Struthio camelus: one gene and its partner. The protein of the gene in region 1 interacts with the protein of each later gene in a pairwise test. Links are inferred from orthologs where the notes say so. Each region holds a gene or a part of one and is shown on either strand. Other genes may lie near its edges.

Region 1 (8,202 bases):
GGGGAAGAGCAGAGAAGGGCAGATAATGTACAGGAAAAGTGGTTACACAAATACAAATATTAACACAACTCCTTCAGTCCCTTCCAAAATGAAAGTTTCAGATTGTCAGAAGGCTGAGAGGGCAATCAGGCAAAACAGAAGCACGTTTGATGTCACTCATGCATCTGTAACAAGTTCATTCTCTCTTCTGTAAAGCAGAAGTTTTACGAAGGTATCTACAGGATGCAGTTTACTTATTTAGGTAATAAGATCTTCTGTAGGAAGATGTGGAGCATCTCTAGTAGTTATCACCTCAGAGAGAAGCTGAATGGACTGAGGTCCTGGGCCTGAAAACATGAACACTCAGTGAAGGAGTGGAGGAAAATCAAGTCAGTCTGGAAAAGGTCAGATGAATTTGCTATTATCCATATGATTCCCCTTTCAGTGAATGAATTTTCAGGAAAGACATTCAGATAGTGAGGTAGCTTAGACCTAAGCAGAGGAGGACAATGCTAACCAACATGTTCAGAAAGATAGTCAAGTGACTACAGAGACGCAGTGAAAGTTGCAGCCATGTTCAGAAAAAGTCATTTGAGTCTCTTCCACTGAGCCACCATCGAGATCAAAAATCAAATAAGGTTTTGAAAAAGCTTATCACGGTTACTTGATATACAATACACACATAGGGCCACTCCTGTGTGGTTGTGTTGTTCACTGCCATTTTCATCTACAACAGATAACACTAATAACATTTGGAGCGTAGTTACTTAAACCAGGCCTTAACATTTCATTAAGCTGCTGAGACAGCTATGGGCAGACCTTGTCATAGCGAGCAGGCTTTTTGCTTTGTTTCAGAAGTACTAACATATGAACAGATTACAGAAATTAGGCAGTTGTTTTCCTATGTCAGAGGAGAAAAGGCTCAAATGTTATTTTCAGTTTCTGGCGTGCTTAGCTTAAAGTAAATCATAAAGAAAGCAAGGAATCATAAGAAGTGGTAGGTAGCGCATACTGTTTTTCACTACTGTAGCATTAGCAATATACTAGGAGCTGAAAATAAGCCATACTTGATTAGGTACATATACTTGGGAATGATATCAGTATCTGAGCATTACTGAGAGTTTTTGTCATTGAGAGATGTGTGGTTTGTGTAAGACAGATCAGAGTTACAGGTCTGTTGAATATCTGTAATGACAGGCAGAAAATGGCCTTCTCTATCAACCAACATAACTCTCAAGTATGCACACAATAATGAAGTATTTCTTCTTAATATTGATCATTCCATTTCAAGCACCAAGTAACATCAGATAAAGAAAATATACATGTATTTATTTGTTTGCAGGATCTATGTGGATGCTCTTAACCCCACTCTACTCCCTGCTCTGCTCCCCTCCCCACCCCTCTCTGCTCAGGTGTAAGCATAAAGATATATGCATATCTGAAAGAATCAGAAAGCATCTGTGATATTTCACAGAGGATCCGATAGCTCTTCTTAAGTAAAAGTGTATCTCCAAGTCACTAGGTCACAGTAGCACTCAAGAAGAGGCACCTCAGGAAGGGCCTCCGACATAGCTACAGTTGGCAGATTCACCACTTTCACTATTCCGCCTGGAAGGGAAAGATTTGGACATAAATATTTTCAGTTCTTGTGGTCTTTAGGTTATGTCAGTAGCCCTTATCAGTAAGATAAGTCATCAATAAGACAGTCTTTGGATAAATGCACTTTTACACATCTTTCAAAGTCCCTAAAACTCAGGGACATCACGTGGATTTCTGATGTTCCTTGGCAGGCTCTGAATCCACAAATTAATGAGTGGATTATTGTGATTCATATGCCACTTTCATTTTTGGCAGGTAACACTAGTGGTATTGGAGGATGATTACTTGAATGAGATCTGCACCCACTTTCCTCAAATCAGCACTCTGAAAAAACTCAGTGATAAAATGTAGCTGTCAGCATAAATACATGCATAAATACAATATATGAACACATATTCTGTAGAGAGTTTTGGCTGTACAGTTCCAGACTTCAGGGATGAGCAGATGCGTACGACTTTCTACAGTTCTTGTAGAAGGCTGGGCAAGCAAACATCTGTGGTGGACATTGAGGAAGAGGAAATTTCAACGTGTCAGTAATAGGAAAGTTACATTGTACACCTGCTTTTTTAGGCATGCCATCTGTGCTCAGTCATACCATAATATAGCTTTGATGGCATGCCACAACTAAAGGGCAGGCAGTATACTTGCTTCATTGACATGAATGACAACTTTATAAAACACACTGCTTAATGATATAAATCATAACTTTCAAACACAATATATAGTTATCCTGAATGTTTTCCAATGTTTAGACCTATGCTAATTATTTTCATACTGAAAGCACTGTCGAAGCATTAGAGTGAAAACCAGTGCACACTAGGTAAGCAATAGCACCTTATCTATACTAATACTGAACTTCACAGTATATTTTGTTGGCCTGTAATTACCCCATGACATCCAGTGAATATTGTTTACCATCACCTAATAATAAGCAATTCTGATTCCATTACTGCACACAATCTCATATTAAGTTTCTTCTTTCCAAAGTAAACTGCCTGTGAAGTTCAAAGGTATCACTACGTTTTCTAAAAATCTGGATAAATATTTTATGTAGAAAAGGAAATGTGACCTCAAAAATTTGTATTTTCATTAATACATAAAATCATTGGGGAAAAAAAAGGTTTATATTAGAATTCTTTCTTAAAGAGGCATTTTCCGTAGTGTACTTTGGCGTCTTTAAGTGGTAGCATGATCTAAATCCATAATTCAGTTCCAGTCCTGGATCTACTCTTCAATCCATGTGTGGCCTCAGTCAAAATGTATTAAATTTTCCTGTTTCAGTTTCCCTGACTCTAAAGTGGGAATAACATGACTAACCCAAATAGCTTAGTTGCAATTTATAAGATTGAATAACTTGATGATTGGATTTCTGAGACATGAAACATGATTACTATTAGGATTCAATGACCAACCAGGCAGAAGAGTGTGATACAAATACAGGAGATGGGTCTTTGACTACAGAAAACGTGACAACCAGTCAGTCAGTGAGGAGGAAGCTCTAAGGAATGGTTAGCTGTACTTGTAAAAGTGTGAAAGTTCCCATTGCACTTTCTTTTTAGCATCCCATACTACCTAAAGATCGTAAAAAGCTAAGCCCTCTCCAAGAAATGAACAGGTCCAAAACACTACATGCAAAGAAATTTTTATCTGCGTAACAGAGCTAGGTATTGTTTTCTAGTGGAAATGTCAGAATTGATTAAAGGCTTGGCATTTCTATTTAAAATCAGCCAGTGCATGATACATTTTAAAGGGAGAAAAATATAGAGGCCAAATAACATGGAGATAACAGGCTAAATTAACTTCTACTGCTGCTGCAGTAACTTGGTAGCCAATGTATTGGGGCCAAATTTATAAATGGGAGTGCCTCATAATAACTATGAGAAAGTATTCTTCCTGCCAGCAAAGTCAATATTATTAATTGTTATTACCATTATTAACCTTTGGGCTTGTGTATCCTCCGTGGATTAATGATTATTCAATAACTGTGTTACAAGGCTGCACTTTCTAATACCAATTAATAGAAGAGCATACCACTGGTTTACTAGGAAAAGTGTTGACGTATCAACTTCACAGTGTCAGTCTTGTTTGTAAGACATGTAAAGGTGCCTACATGAATTGCATTTGTCAATTCCCAGAGCTGAAAGATGAAATCTGCCACAAAGTCAAAATAAATAAAAAAGGAGATCGGGCTGACATCCAGGGTCCCCTCTCTTCTCAGGCTCCTAGGGAATAAGAAACAGCCTCAGCTTTCAGGGAAACCTGCCCTCACTGCCAGGTTCACTCTCCAGGAACTCCACTTCCAAACTGTGCATCAGCGAAGAAGGGAAGGAAGGTCTTAAAAACAAAAGAACAGAGGAAAAAGTCCCTCCCCAAGGAGAAATTAAACGGAAAAAAAAAAAAGAGAATTCCGAAACAGCGGTACTGTGGAGCACGTCGTGCCAGGTGAAACATCAGGCGAGGGAACCGCGGGTGAAGCGCGGCGGCACCCGGCCCCGCTGCCGCTGCCGGCCCCGACGGCGCGGCCCCGCTGCCGCCCGGCTCGGGCGGGTCGCCACCACCGCGGCGCGGCCCCTCCGCAGGCTGCCGGCCCTCGCCCCGCAGCCCCCCGCCGCCTGCGCGGCCGCGGAGCTGCGCGCCGTCAGAGCCGGTCCTGCGCCGCCGCCGCTCGCCGCAGCAGCGCGGTGCCATCCCGGCCCGAAACGGCCCCGCCGGCGCGGCCTTCCCGCGGGGGCAGCCGCGGGCGGGAATGAAGCAGCGGAGGGAGGAAGGAGGGAAGGGAAAGCGGTGGGGCCGCGGTGCTCCGCGGGGGGCTCCGACCTTTCTCGCTGCTCTGTGTGTGTGTGTGTGTGTGTGTGTGTGTGTCCTACCTGGCTCCCTGCGCGGCGGAGGGGGCGGCGGGGACACACACACACACACACACCCCCCACCTCTCGCACTCCCACCGAGTCAGCGAGCAGAGAGGAGGAGGCACCACACACACACACACAAAAACGCGGCTCGCCCCCCACTCCGCTGCCGCGCAGGGCGGCGCGCAGCCCCCCCCCCCCGCCCCAACCCAGGCTCCCCGCGCCCGCGCTGCCCCGACGGCACCGCCGCCCCCTCCCCCGGGGGCACCGCACCCCGCCCGAGGGCGCCGTGCGCGGCGGCCGGGAGGGGAGCGCGCACACACGCACACGCGCGCGCAGGCAGAGCTGCCCCACGCCGGTACCTGCTGCCCTGGTGTTTTCCGTCCGGGCTCCTCCTCGCTCAGGCAGCTCGGGAGGGGAGCCGAGCGGGCAGGCGCGCGTGTGCGTGCGCGCGTGTGCGTGTGCGTGTGTGTGCGTGTGTGTGTGTGTGTGTGCGCGAGAGAGAGACACAGAGAGAGACACAGAGAGAGAGAGAGAGAGAGAGAGAGAGAGAGAGAGAGAGAGACTCTCCCCCTTCCCCCCTCCCCCTCCTCCTCCTCGCTCTCCTTCCTTTAAACGCCCACTCCCGATGGGTGAACAGACAACTTGAACTTCAGTGCAATTAACTTCGCCGGCGCCTCGGAAGCCGGAGGTGTCGCCGGCCTCGCCCGCCGCGCTCCCATGCGTGAGTCGCTCCCCGCTCCTCGGCCTCTCTGGGGGGAGGGAGGGAAGGAGGTGGGGGGGGAATGGGGGGGGGCAGACGGGGCAGCGCAGCGCGGGGGGCACAAGCCGCGGAGGCGGGCGCGGGCGCGCAGGGCCGGCGCCGGCAGCGCGGGGGACGGCGGGGAGGCTCCGCGACGGGGCGCCGCTGCCCGCCCGCCGCCCGGCCGCGCACCTGCCGCCGCCGCCCCGCGGGGGCGAGAGGGAGGACAAAAAAAAAAAAAAAACCACGAGCCGTCCGAAAAGTTTGGCAAACTTCTCGCGCGGCCCCGCGCGCCTCCCCGACGCGGGGCACCGCGGCCGGCGGCGCCCGGGAGAGCGCGGGGCGAGGAAGGCGGGAGGGGGGGAGGGAGCCGTCGTGGGCCGCGGGCGCGGCGAGGCCGCCGGGCGCCAGCGCGGAGCTGCGCGCTCCCCCGCGGCGCGGCGCGGTGCGGTGCGGAGGTGCGGGGGGCCGCAGCAGCCCCAGCGCCTCCCCCACAACCCCGTCCGTGCTCCGCGCTTTTATTCTGATTTTTTCCGCTCCGCCGGCAAAACCGCCGCCCGAGGTTGTGCCCCCGTCGCCGTCCTTTTGCCGGCGTCTCCGGCCGCTGCCCGGGCGGAGCGCTCCTGACAGGCGGCACCTGCCCGGTTTTAAGTTTTCCTTTGCCAGGCTCCAGGCTTCGCTGCCTGCTGGAGAAACTTCGCTAAAACGCAAGTTCGCTGAAACACTTCGCACCAGCTCCTAAGCTGAAATGCGTTTAAAATGACGAAAGCTCGCCATCGGTTTTTGTTCGCTCCAACGGAGTGCGGTGCTTCCGTGAAAATAACTCACAAATTCAGATTCACAGACTCTAAGGCGTATGATCTAGCAGGACCCTTTCCTTGCAGTCCCTGCTTCTTGGGTGTGAGTTAGCAGCCGTCCCTTATTTCTACTTTATATTATTTTGGTATAGTACATTCATATATTTGTCTGCTGTAGTCTGCTGGCAAACATTAGCATTCAAGCTTACATTTTTGACAAATGTGCAGACAGGAATAGCATGAATAGGCATCTTAAATATTAACAACCTAAGCATCTGTTGTGAAACAAATTTAATATATTTACTCTGTTTTTCTCACATTGTTAGAAAAGGTTACAATAAGTGTAAAATTTCAACTTTAGTTAGCACAAGGAATGCTTGGATATTTCACTATCTCTTCAAGCATTTAACACACTCACTAGATAGAAATGTGTCAAATCAGGCGCACTATTCAAAAAACAACTTGCAACAGTAAGCATAGAGTGTAAAGGCATGAATGTAGGATGTTCTCTGTAATTTGTATCATCTCATTACTCTGCAGCACTGTTTGTAGAATTTTAGAGTGCTCTTTTCAATCCCGTGTTCCTATATGCTTTTTAATACATTTACGCATACGCTCATTTTCCATTTCATTTTCCATTTCAGATTGTTGTTGGTATTACCTTGCTTTTCAAGTCGAAGTAATGATTTGTGCAGAAATGTGTAATCACGTAGAGTAGGTAACAAAAAGAGCAAGCAGAAGAGGTAACGTGTGCAAGTGTAAGTGTGCATCTGAACAGATAGCACACACACATTATAAGGCAATAGAAGAAAAATTAAAATCGTTGGTTAATATGCTATATATGCCCACTCTTGAATACAAACAGCTAGTGGAAAAGAAACAACTGGCTCCAAGGAATTCCTCCTTCCCTGGAATAAGACTATTCTGAGTAGAACAAGAACAAGAGTAAAGTTTCCAAAAAGCCTGTAGAGTTATTTCAGGAATCAGTGCATTCCTTCTCTTTTTCCCACAAGTTCAAATATGTAATAAATAAGTCCTTTGTATGCAAAAGAGTTTACTGGAACAAAAAATATTTAAATGGAATGCTTTTTGTGCGTACACTTTAAAAAAGTAGCAGTTTCCTTTTTAGACTCTTTCTTGTTGATGCTTTAAATAGGAAAGTAACTATCACAGTTTCTGTTTCTGGACTCCTGTTATTTTAGCGATATGCATAAATCCTAACCTGCTCCGTACCCCTGAGAAAGCTATAAAGCAGATAAAAGTCGGTCTGTGGCTCACTAATGGCACATGCTGTTTTGCGCGAGAGAGAAACAGAGAGGATCTATCTCAGCAGCCCAAATCTGCATTTGAGGAGGGTCCCATTGGGCTCTGCAGCGTAGGCCCCAGAGGTCAGCCGGGCGGCACCTGCCTTGATTGCTGCAGCTCTTTTGGGACTCCCAAATGGTGCCATCCGCTGCCCCGTAAGCATCCGACGGGTGCCCGAACGCCAAATCCTCCGGGGAACGTGGGCACACTCACCCCTTCGTCGCAACAGCATCTGGAGGGTAGGAAAGTCTTGAACGCGCACCAACTTACGCTGCATTTCTGGTTTTGGGTGGAGAGGGGTTTAGAAGCGTGCGACTGCAGTTTAGAAAATGAAGCTGGGGTATTTTGGCGTTCTTGAAAAAACAAATGTTTTAACAATCAAATATTGTGTCAGCTACTCAATTTTTAGAAGTACTTCTATTGTCACCTGTTTTTTAATCTGAGTGTCATAGATAAATTTGAAGTCCTTCTTAAGGTTTCCAGCTGTATTTGGAGAAAAAGCCAAGCAGATTCCTCTATTTATTAACAAAATAGATTGCAGTATATTGAAAAAATGTCATTAAAAGCAGATTTATGAATTTAAAATGGAGGAAATATGATTTTTGAAAAGTTTTAGTCATATTTCTAAGATCTACGCTATTTTAACATAGATTCTACTGAAGGATTTTATTGCCTTCCTGTACATAACTGCCATTGCTCTCTCTAGATATATTTAATATATATCCAATGAAGGCACAAACTTTCATTCTACAACAGTTTAAACACATCTGGAACATTTTACTTTCTTATAATTTATGTTAATAGATGTAGAGTGTATATACAATCTTCTCAGAAATCATTGCTTTTTCCAAAGGGGAATTTTTTTACTTTCAGTCAGGGAATATATTTATAAGAACAGAGTAACTCAAAGTATAGGCAATTCTATATGTCATTT
Region 2 (7,751 bases), on another chromosome or scaffold:
CTCTGCTTCCTGATTGTTTCCTTTTAGGCTGGTCTTTGCTACGATGCTCCCTCCTAGTCCTGTGGCCATGACTGCCTCTGCTGCGCTGTGAATAGGACTGTGGACTTTTGGACTTTCTCTTTCTGGACAGTCTGTGATTACAAGGAGAGCACATCCTGTCCCTTCCTGAAGAGGGGCTCCAGATCAATTCCTGTGGAGATAAATTTTTTATTTTACTTTTGTCCTCATCCTCTTTTGACTCCATCTTCTCGGCTGCAGGGGATGAGCAGCTTTTACAGCTACCTAGGTTCTCGTTATACATAGGAGAGTGTGGTGAGGAACTCGGGCTTTGTTCACTGTCACTGCAACTGTGAAACTGGATTGGCTGCTGTTTCTTGATATTTTCCCTTTTCTCTTCCTTGACTGATTCCTCAGAGTCCGAAGACAACTCAACCAGTTCTGGTGTCCTCTCAGCTATAGGCTTAACATACCCAACAATAACACAATTGTCTGAAGAAGAGTCACTGTCATTGGAACCAGCATTAGCCTGTATCTGGGTTTGCACTGCAGTTCTCTTTGTTGCAGAGTCCTCATCAGAACTTTCTGAAGTCTCCAAAGGAGAAGCTATGGTTGCATGAACCTCTTCTGAGATGGAATATGAGGGCCCTGGAGTTTCATCATCCCACGGAGCTTGATCAATACCAGTCACGGATGAACTGTGATCTGGACCTTGAGAATCTGCTTCATCCGGAGATATTGTAATAATTGATGAGTCTGAGTGGCTTCCTTCATCGTACGATGGAGCAGGACAGTCATAATTGGCATGCTGATCATACGCCTCTAAATTAAAAGGACACCGGGCAAAACTGACAAATTCATGTAGGAAATGTTCAGTCCGATTCAGCAAAAACGGCTTTAAATCATCAGCAAAGGCCTGGCTTTCCAGATCATACCTTGTCACATTACTCATGATGATATGCTGTACAATATTAACTAAAGATCCGTGGGCACCAAATAGGACTGTAAGTTCCCGCTTCAACCAGGGAACCAACCTGTGAAGGCAAGCAGGGTTCCGGCGAAAAAACTCTGCTGAAATATCTCGATAGCGGCCACCATCCTGAATACTACGAACACGCACACCAGTGCGATACAGAGCTCTGCGGAAGTTGATCATGTCCTCCTCCTGAATCTGCCGCAGAGATCTGCCTTCTGCACTAGCCTGCCTCCTTGAGGCGAGCCTCCTTATCATCTGCTGAATCTCTCCATCTCTCTGCCGCACTGGTTGGCTTGATAACCCTTCAAACAATATTCCATTATCTGGAGGGGACAGCGTCCTTCGGGAAGAGGAAGTGTGTCGATGGTAAGATGAGGTGCGACGTTCCCTTGTCAACGTAGTACGATAACGAAATCTCCGGCCATCAGGACTGGCAAAAGAGCCATTTTCTGATGGTCGGAGTATGTACTCTTTAAAGTCATCCTCAGCACGAACTGTATGGAAAATAGAATGAAAAGGTTGTTTGCAGAGTGGGCATTCTGCTTTGTTTTTTGACCACTCCTGGACACAACGGAAACAAAACTTATGCAAGCAACGATCTAGATACGCAACATTGTCGAATCTATCCAAACAGATCGGGCATTTAGAGTCAGGAGATGCATCTGTTGGCACTGTCTGATGCAGCTTGCTTGTGCTAGCTTTCGGTGAAAAGTTGCTATCCACTGCAAACTCTGCTGAAGTCATGTTCTACAAAAGACAAACACAAAAAGATCATTACCTTCCTGAGAGGAAAGGATGTGAATATCTAGACAAAGAAACCTCTGCTATCCTTCTTTTAGTTTGTAAAAAACATAAGGTCGATATGGTGTCAAACAAAAAACCACAATGATATAACTACTTTTTCTGGCCTCTCCTCAGGCTACTGCTTCCCTCAAGAAGTTAGATGTCACGGTTAAATTTTTTCCCAAGATAGAGAGAAGAAGGCATGACCCTGAAAATTGACCAGGCTTAGGAACTGCAGTTCTAGAAATCCTGCTCTGCCCATTGAAGAAAACTAAGCTATCTTCCCTAGCAAGAGCACAACTGTCCTCTCTGTTTTTCAGTGGAAGTTCTCATTTGCACCACCACCTCTTTTAGAGGAAGGCAGAAGCCTGTGCTACCAGGTATTCAGCGCTCCTAAAATAGCTATTAACTTATGGAGGTGGACATACCAGAAACCTCAGCAACTGATCAGTACTGGCCCCCAAAACACTGATATTCTTCCCATTCTTAGACATTCAGTCCTGACACTGGTGTTTGTTCTTCTCATTTAGAAAGGCCCACTGTTTTGCTTTTCAACTCTACATTCTTCTTTTACTAATGACACCTTTTCCCCACTGTACTGTTTTGCTCTTTCTTTGCTGCAGACTCTGTCTACAAAGCTCTTCAGGGATGAAGCACATGGGTAACTGACTGGCACTGTATCTTTGGGGCAGTTCTCCTGGCAGTCAGCGCTGGAGTATTCTATTCTGCTGGAAGGTCTCTACAGAGTAAGATGCATCAAAAATGAACAGGAAAAGCAACAGACACACTTAGTAAGATTTATGGTTGGTAGGTAGAAGTAGACAGTCAGATAAAGCAGCCCCCGAAATACATACAAAAGATCACTAGCAGCATGCCTGCACTAAGTTCTTTAGTCTGTACTGTTACAGCAAATTATGATTTTTGTGGAAACCATGAAGATATTCTTGCCAATTGAAACTAATACATGAATTGCTGCGATTTAACTCATGCACATATCAACAGATAATTTTTAAAATACGGAAGCAATTCCAGGCCTCCCTCCCTCTGCCACCACAACCAGAATCTAAAGCGCTGCAAGTTTTTACTGGGACTTGAAACATGCCGGCATTTCCGAAGACTCCAGGCAGGACTCCCTCTCCCTCCCTCCTCACACTTCAGCGACGGTTTCCTCATTCTTTCCCAACAACGTTCTCATTAACAAGGGATCCCGCGGCACACCTGTCCCAAAGAGACGGATTCGCACCTCCCCGCCTCCCCCCGCCGACCGCAGCGCCCCGCGCGCCAACCCCCGGTCCGGTCCGGCCCGGCCCGGCCCGGCCGCACTCACCGCCGCCGGGGCCTCCTCGGCCGCCCGCCGCCGCGGGCCCCGGGCCGCAGCCGCGGCCGCCGCATTCAGCCGCTGGCGCCGCGGGCAGTGGCCGGCAGCCTCCCGGCGCGGGTCCCCCGCGGGGTGGCGGCGGCGGCCGCTCTCGCCCAGGCGGCGCCGCGGCTCGGACATGGGCGGCGGCGGCGGCGGCGGCGGCAGCGCGTTGCCCCGGGGACCCCGCCGCCAGCGAGGCAGCGCCGGGCGCTGCGCAGCCCCGGGCCGGAAGACGGGCGCCGCCGCGGCAGCGTCACTTCCGGCGCGCGGGGGCCGCCGGCGCCGACATCTTGTCGGCGGGCGGGAGCGGCGGGGGCCGGGCCGGGCCGGGGCTCCCGCTTGGCGTCGCTTGCCAGCGGCCGGGATCAGGGACTGGGCGTCTTCGCGCCCCCGCTGCCCGGCGGGACGCGGCGGAGCGAGGCCGCTTGGTGCAGCAGCTGTCTGCGCCGCGCCTGAGCGCCGGGGCCGCGCGGGCAGCAGCAGGACCGGCCGCGCTGGGCCGCCGCGGCAGAGGCCGAGAGAGGCCCCTTAGGCTGCCTCGGCCCCGAGGAGGCGGCTGCGGGGGGTTCCAGCGCCGTGCCTGCCCGCTGGAGACACGCGCGAGGGGTCTTCGGGGTCTGCACGGCCTTTGCGGCCTGGCCAAACACGGGCAGCTGTCGTTGGCCGGCGTACGGCGGCACCCGTCTTCCCTTTGCTGCGTTTGCCAGCGTTCCCTTCCTGGCGGGCGGCTGCTCCCTTTCCCCAAACTGTCCCTCTGTCTGTGTGTGCAGAGGACGACTGGCCAGAGAGCAGCCCGCTGGTGCGCAGGGAATGCTGCCTCTGCTGTGCTAATTCGCGGCCTCTCCTCCTACAGCTGTCCCGCGAGGTGGTGACGCACAGGCTGTTGGCCGAGCAGCAAGAAGAGCTCAGGAGGTGTTGGCGTGGCACCAAGCGTGCCGAGCTCGTGGCCTGTGCTGAAGCCAGTACAAACTGCACCTGAAGGCCAAAGCCAAGAGAGTGTTTTCTAGGACTGAGCAGGGACGAGGAGCGTGCGGGAGCACGGAGGGGAGCAGTAAGGGCTGTCACTTAGAGGACTGTTCTACAGCCGCAGGAGGAATTTGACTGGAGGGTTAGGCTGTGCTGCATTCCTGAGAGGGCTGCGACGTCTGTTGTGTCCGGGTCGGAAGAAAGAGGATGGAGAGTCTTCTGTCAACCAGCTTTATTGCTAGCTGGGATGTGAGCAGATCCTGCATCGCTTTGCTGAAGGAGGAAATGAAGGTTTCATCCGCAGCGATGCCCCCCAGGTTCTTCCTTCAGAAGTGGCTGGAGCGATTCCTCTGGTCTCTGAAGTGCCTTGGCCCAGGTGCAGTCGGACAAAGCGTGGCCAGTGTCCTCTCGTGTACACAGCTGGCACCAGCAGTGCCAGGTTTCCACCAGCACTTCAGCTTCCCTGAGTGTCGAGCACAAGCAGCAGAGCACGAACCACAGGGGAAAGCTTCAGCTGCCGCGGAGCGCAGGCGCTGGCGCTGGCGCGCTCTGTGCGCACTTCTGCGGAGGGAGAAGCCTCTGCCTTGGCTGCGGGGGCGGCGAAGGGAAGCGACCGCCCGTGCTCTTGCTTTGGGAGAGCTGCCTAGCAGTGCCGAGCACCTCCTTGCAGAGGTGCTCCGCTCCCCGCACCCCGCACAAACGTGCTCCTTTCCTCCCCAAGTCCGGCCCCTCTTCTGGCTGTAGTTTGCGCAGCTGGAGGAGCTGGGCAAGGCTTGCTGGGAATCGCGGGGAATTTGACTGCACGGGAGAGTGTGGCGCTTTGTGAGAGGGGGCGGCCGATACACAGAGCTGCCTTTACGGTGGTGCCGCCATCAGCGTGGTGCTGGCGAGGCTGCCGTTAGGGCACAGCTGCCGTTGACACTAGGGTTGCTGTTAGGTGGGGCTGCTGTTACCCCGGGTCTGCCGAGACCCTGGGGCTGCCGTTATCCCGGCTTTTCTGTCTTCCCCTGCCCTGCTGCTCTCCCAGGCTGCTGTGTAAAACTATGGGCCGTGCTGTTTCCCCGGACCATGGGGTGGCCCCTGCCTGCCCTTCCCCACCTTGCTCTTACCCTGGGTCCTTGCTGTGTACCCCGGTCCTGTCGCTACCACGGCCTCTGCCAGCACCCCGGGCCGGGCCGGGCCGGGCCGGGCCGGGCCGGGCCGGGCCGGGGAGCTGCCTTGGGGCTGCCCTTCCCCCAGGGCTCCTGTGCTGCTGGACGCTGCCATTAGCCTGGGCCTGCCTGTTCTTGTGTTCATGTCTTTAATTCTTATTGAGGAGGGGTCGCAGGCTGTCTCTGGGTTCCTGAGATGAGGTCTGGCTTGCCACCTTCCCGTGCACCTGCACTCGATAAATGCAGGTGTACTCCGGGTTCCCCCAGTTGCTCTGGACAAAAAGCTTTATATATTGAAAGGCTCTGGACAGCTCCTCCTGCAGAGACGTCGTGGGAAGAAGAAACGTGGTTAGTGGGGTGCAAAGAGGGACAGTACACCGCAGGGCCCTCCCTCTGCCAGCCCTGGCCCTGTTAAGGGCCAAGCTGTGGCCCTGGTTGAGGTGGACAGCTTGTCTCTCCCTCTTCCCCTCTGCAGCGAGGGCTGCAAAGGACGGCTCTGGGCGTGTGCGTGGCCTCCGAGAGTGGGTGAAAGCAGCTGTGGCCGTGTGAGGCGGGCTGCCAGCAGGACTGCCAGGAACACAGGGAAAGTCCTGCTGCGGAGGGAAGGCGCCTGCGTCCTGCCTGCCACCGCCTGCCCTGGCTGGGCTCGGTCCCCGTTGCTGCTGCCCCTTCCCGCTGCTGCTTCCTGTGTGCTAGCAGAGAGGCTGGTGCGGGGCTGCCGCACGTGGGGCAGCTGGGTGATCAACCCCTCCAAACAGCCGGTTCCTCCTCGGCTGGCCTTCCCGGCAGGAGCGAGAGCCCAGGGAAGCCGTCCACCCTGCTGCCAGGTGCTGCCGCAGCTCGATGGAGCTGCCGTCTGGCTTTCGCTGCCCGATGTCTGTCTTTCCGTCCGGCACGCAGGCTTCGTGCTGATGGAAAGGCCCCGCGTGCAACCAGCTTTGCTGAAAGCCACAGGTGCAGCCTGGGAGCTCCAGGGTCCTGCACTCCCATGGGCGCGACCCTGCCCTCGCTCTTGTTTTGCTGCCACCGCTGCGCACTGCTTGGTGCGCCTTCAGACCCCGCTGTGCCTCGGCTGTGGGTCTGGCCCCTCTGCCCCCCGGGGAGGAACTGTGGATGCTCTTTCTGCCACGGACGTGCGGGCACAGCCACGTTCCTGCCTGGTCTCTGCCCACACGCACTTACTGTACCTTCAGGGGGAAGGTCTGAAGGGCCTCTTTTCCCACGTCGTAGGTGAATGTCCCAAGGAGAGTTTCTTCTTCTCCCTCCTCGTCCACTCCCTGAGAGACAAAGCACAAGGGTCAGGCTCCGCCTGAGGACGGGGAAACGCACGCGCTGGATCCGGACCTGTTACCCGCCGGCCCTCTCCCGTGGCTCGAGCGGTAGTGTAGTACAGGTTATGGTGTGAAGCTGAGACTCCTCCGTGAGGGGGGTTGACTGCCCTGAGATGCACGGCCAAAAAGCACCGAGCAGGTCTTGAGAAAAGCACCCCGTCCCTTGAAATATTCTCTTGGGGCAGTGCTTACGAGAGAGCAAGGCCCAAACCCCAGCGGATGCCCCAAGACAAGCGAGTGCCTGCTCTGCCTTTTCCCCACGGCCTCATTGCAGCCCAGCAGAGACTTACAGAGACAGTGAAATCCCGGGGGGCACTGCTGACGGTCCCAGATGGAGAGACTGCCTTGTAGATGTGCTGCACGGTGATGGCGGTTGGTTGTATCCGTGCAGGCAGCCAAATGACCACCTGGCCCTGCGACCCTTGGAAAGGCCAGCACTGTCCCGGGGAAACGTCCGGCTGAAAGCAGAGTGCCACAGCAGTGAATGGTGAGGGAGCGAGGCAGGCCACCTCCGCCACCTCCCAGCCCCTCTGAAAAGGGCCTGTCGGAGGTGAGGTAGGCAAATGGGCCTCGAAGGAGAAACTCCCTCAGCCAGCTATGACCAGGGATTGTGGGCAGGATGCGGCCACTCAGTTCCGTTCGGTTGAGTCCTGCTCCTGAGGGAGACTAGCAAGTCAACCCTCTGGTGTCAGGAACCTGATCACCGCCAGGCCCTTGAGCAACCCTGCTGGCCAGAGGGGAGATCCCCTGGGCTTTGTCACCCACTGCCCAGGAAGGAACTGAAGCAGCATGGATGACTTCTGCTACAATACCTGCAAAATAGTATCTGGAGGGTTTGGAGAGTAGAAGCACCAAAAAGCCCTGCAGAGCCAACTCTCTTCCCACGCATAGCTGCTGGATGTTCTCTGCAGATCGATGGTGGCACCTGAAGGGGAGACGGAGCTGCTGACTGCAAGACCCCACAGACGTGGTGCTTGCAGGGCATTTCCAACTCTGCCTGCCTGCCAGCTGTGTCTGTCACTGCCACGCTCAGCACCCCACGTGCTGGTGCCTAGGTGCCCCTCCAGGGCAAAGAGGGCTCCCTGGGCCTGGCCACTGCTTGTCTCTCGCAGCGGCAGGAAAAGACAGCCCTGCAGGTGCTGGCAGACAGCAAAGCCGCGTGGGAGCGACGGCAGAGCAAAGCGCAG

What was found.
Region 2: the proteins of SATB1 (region 1) and TOPORS interact in a two-hybrid assay, tested with the Homo sapiens proteins (2 studies listed by BioGRID and IntAct). The link is inferred for Struthio camelus from reciprocal best matches to the Homo sapiens genes SATB1 and TOPORS.

The regions. Positions count from the first base shown.
Region 1 is NC_090943.1:42,031,652-42,039,853, reverse strand, and holds the start of SATB1 (DNA-binding protein SATB1), read left to right. Parts: upstream 1-4,760; 5' UTR 4,761-5,144; coding exon of another isoform or gene 5,145-5,148; intron 5,149-7,276; exon of another isoform or gene 7,277-7,507; intron 7,508-8,202. UniProt on the Homo sapiens protein: Crucial silencing factor contributing to the initiation of X inactivation mediated by Xist RNA that occurs during embryogenesis and in lymphoma.
Region 2 is NC_090982.1:18,068,703-18,076,453, reverse strand, and holds the start of TOPORS (E3 ubiquitin-protein ligase Topors), read right to left. Parts: upstream 3,186-7,751; 5' UTR 3,084-3,185; intron 1,721-3,083; 5' UTR 1,718-1,720; coding exon 1-1,717. Other genes in the region: sperm-associated antigen 4 protein-like, read right to left, coding at 5,383-5,550, 6,421-6,510, 6,855-7,022, 7,377-7,489. UniProt on the Homo sapiens protein: Functions as an E3 ubiquitin-protein ligase and as an E3 SUMO1-protein ligase. Probable tumor suppressor involved in cell growth, cell proliferation and apoptosis that regulates p53/TP53 stability through ubiquitin-dependent degradation.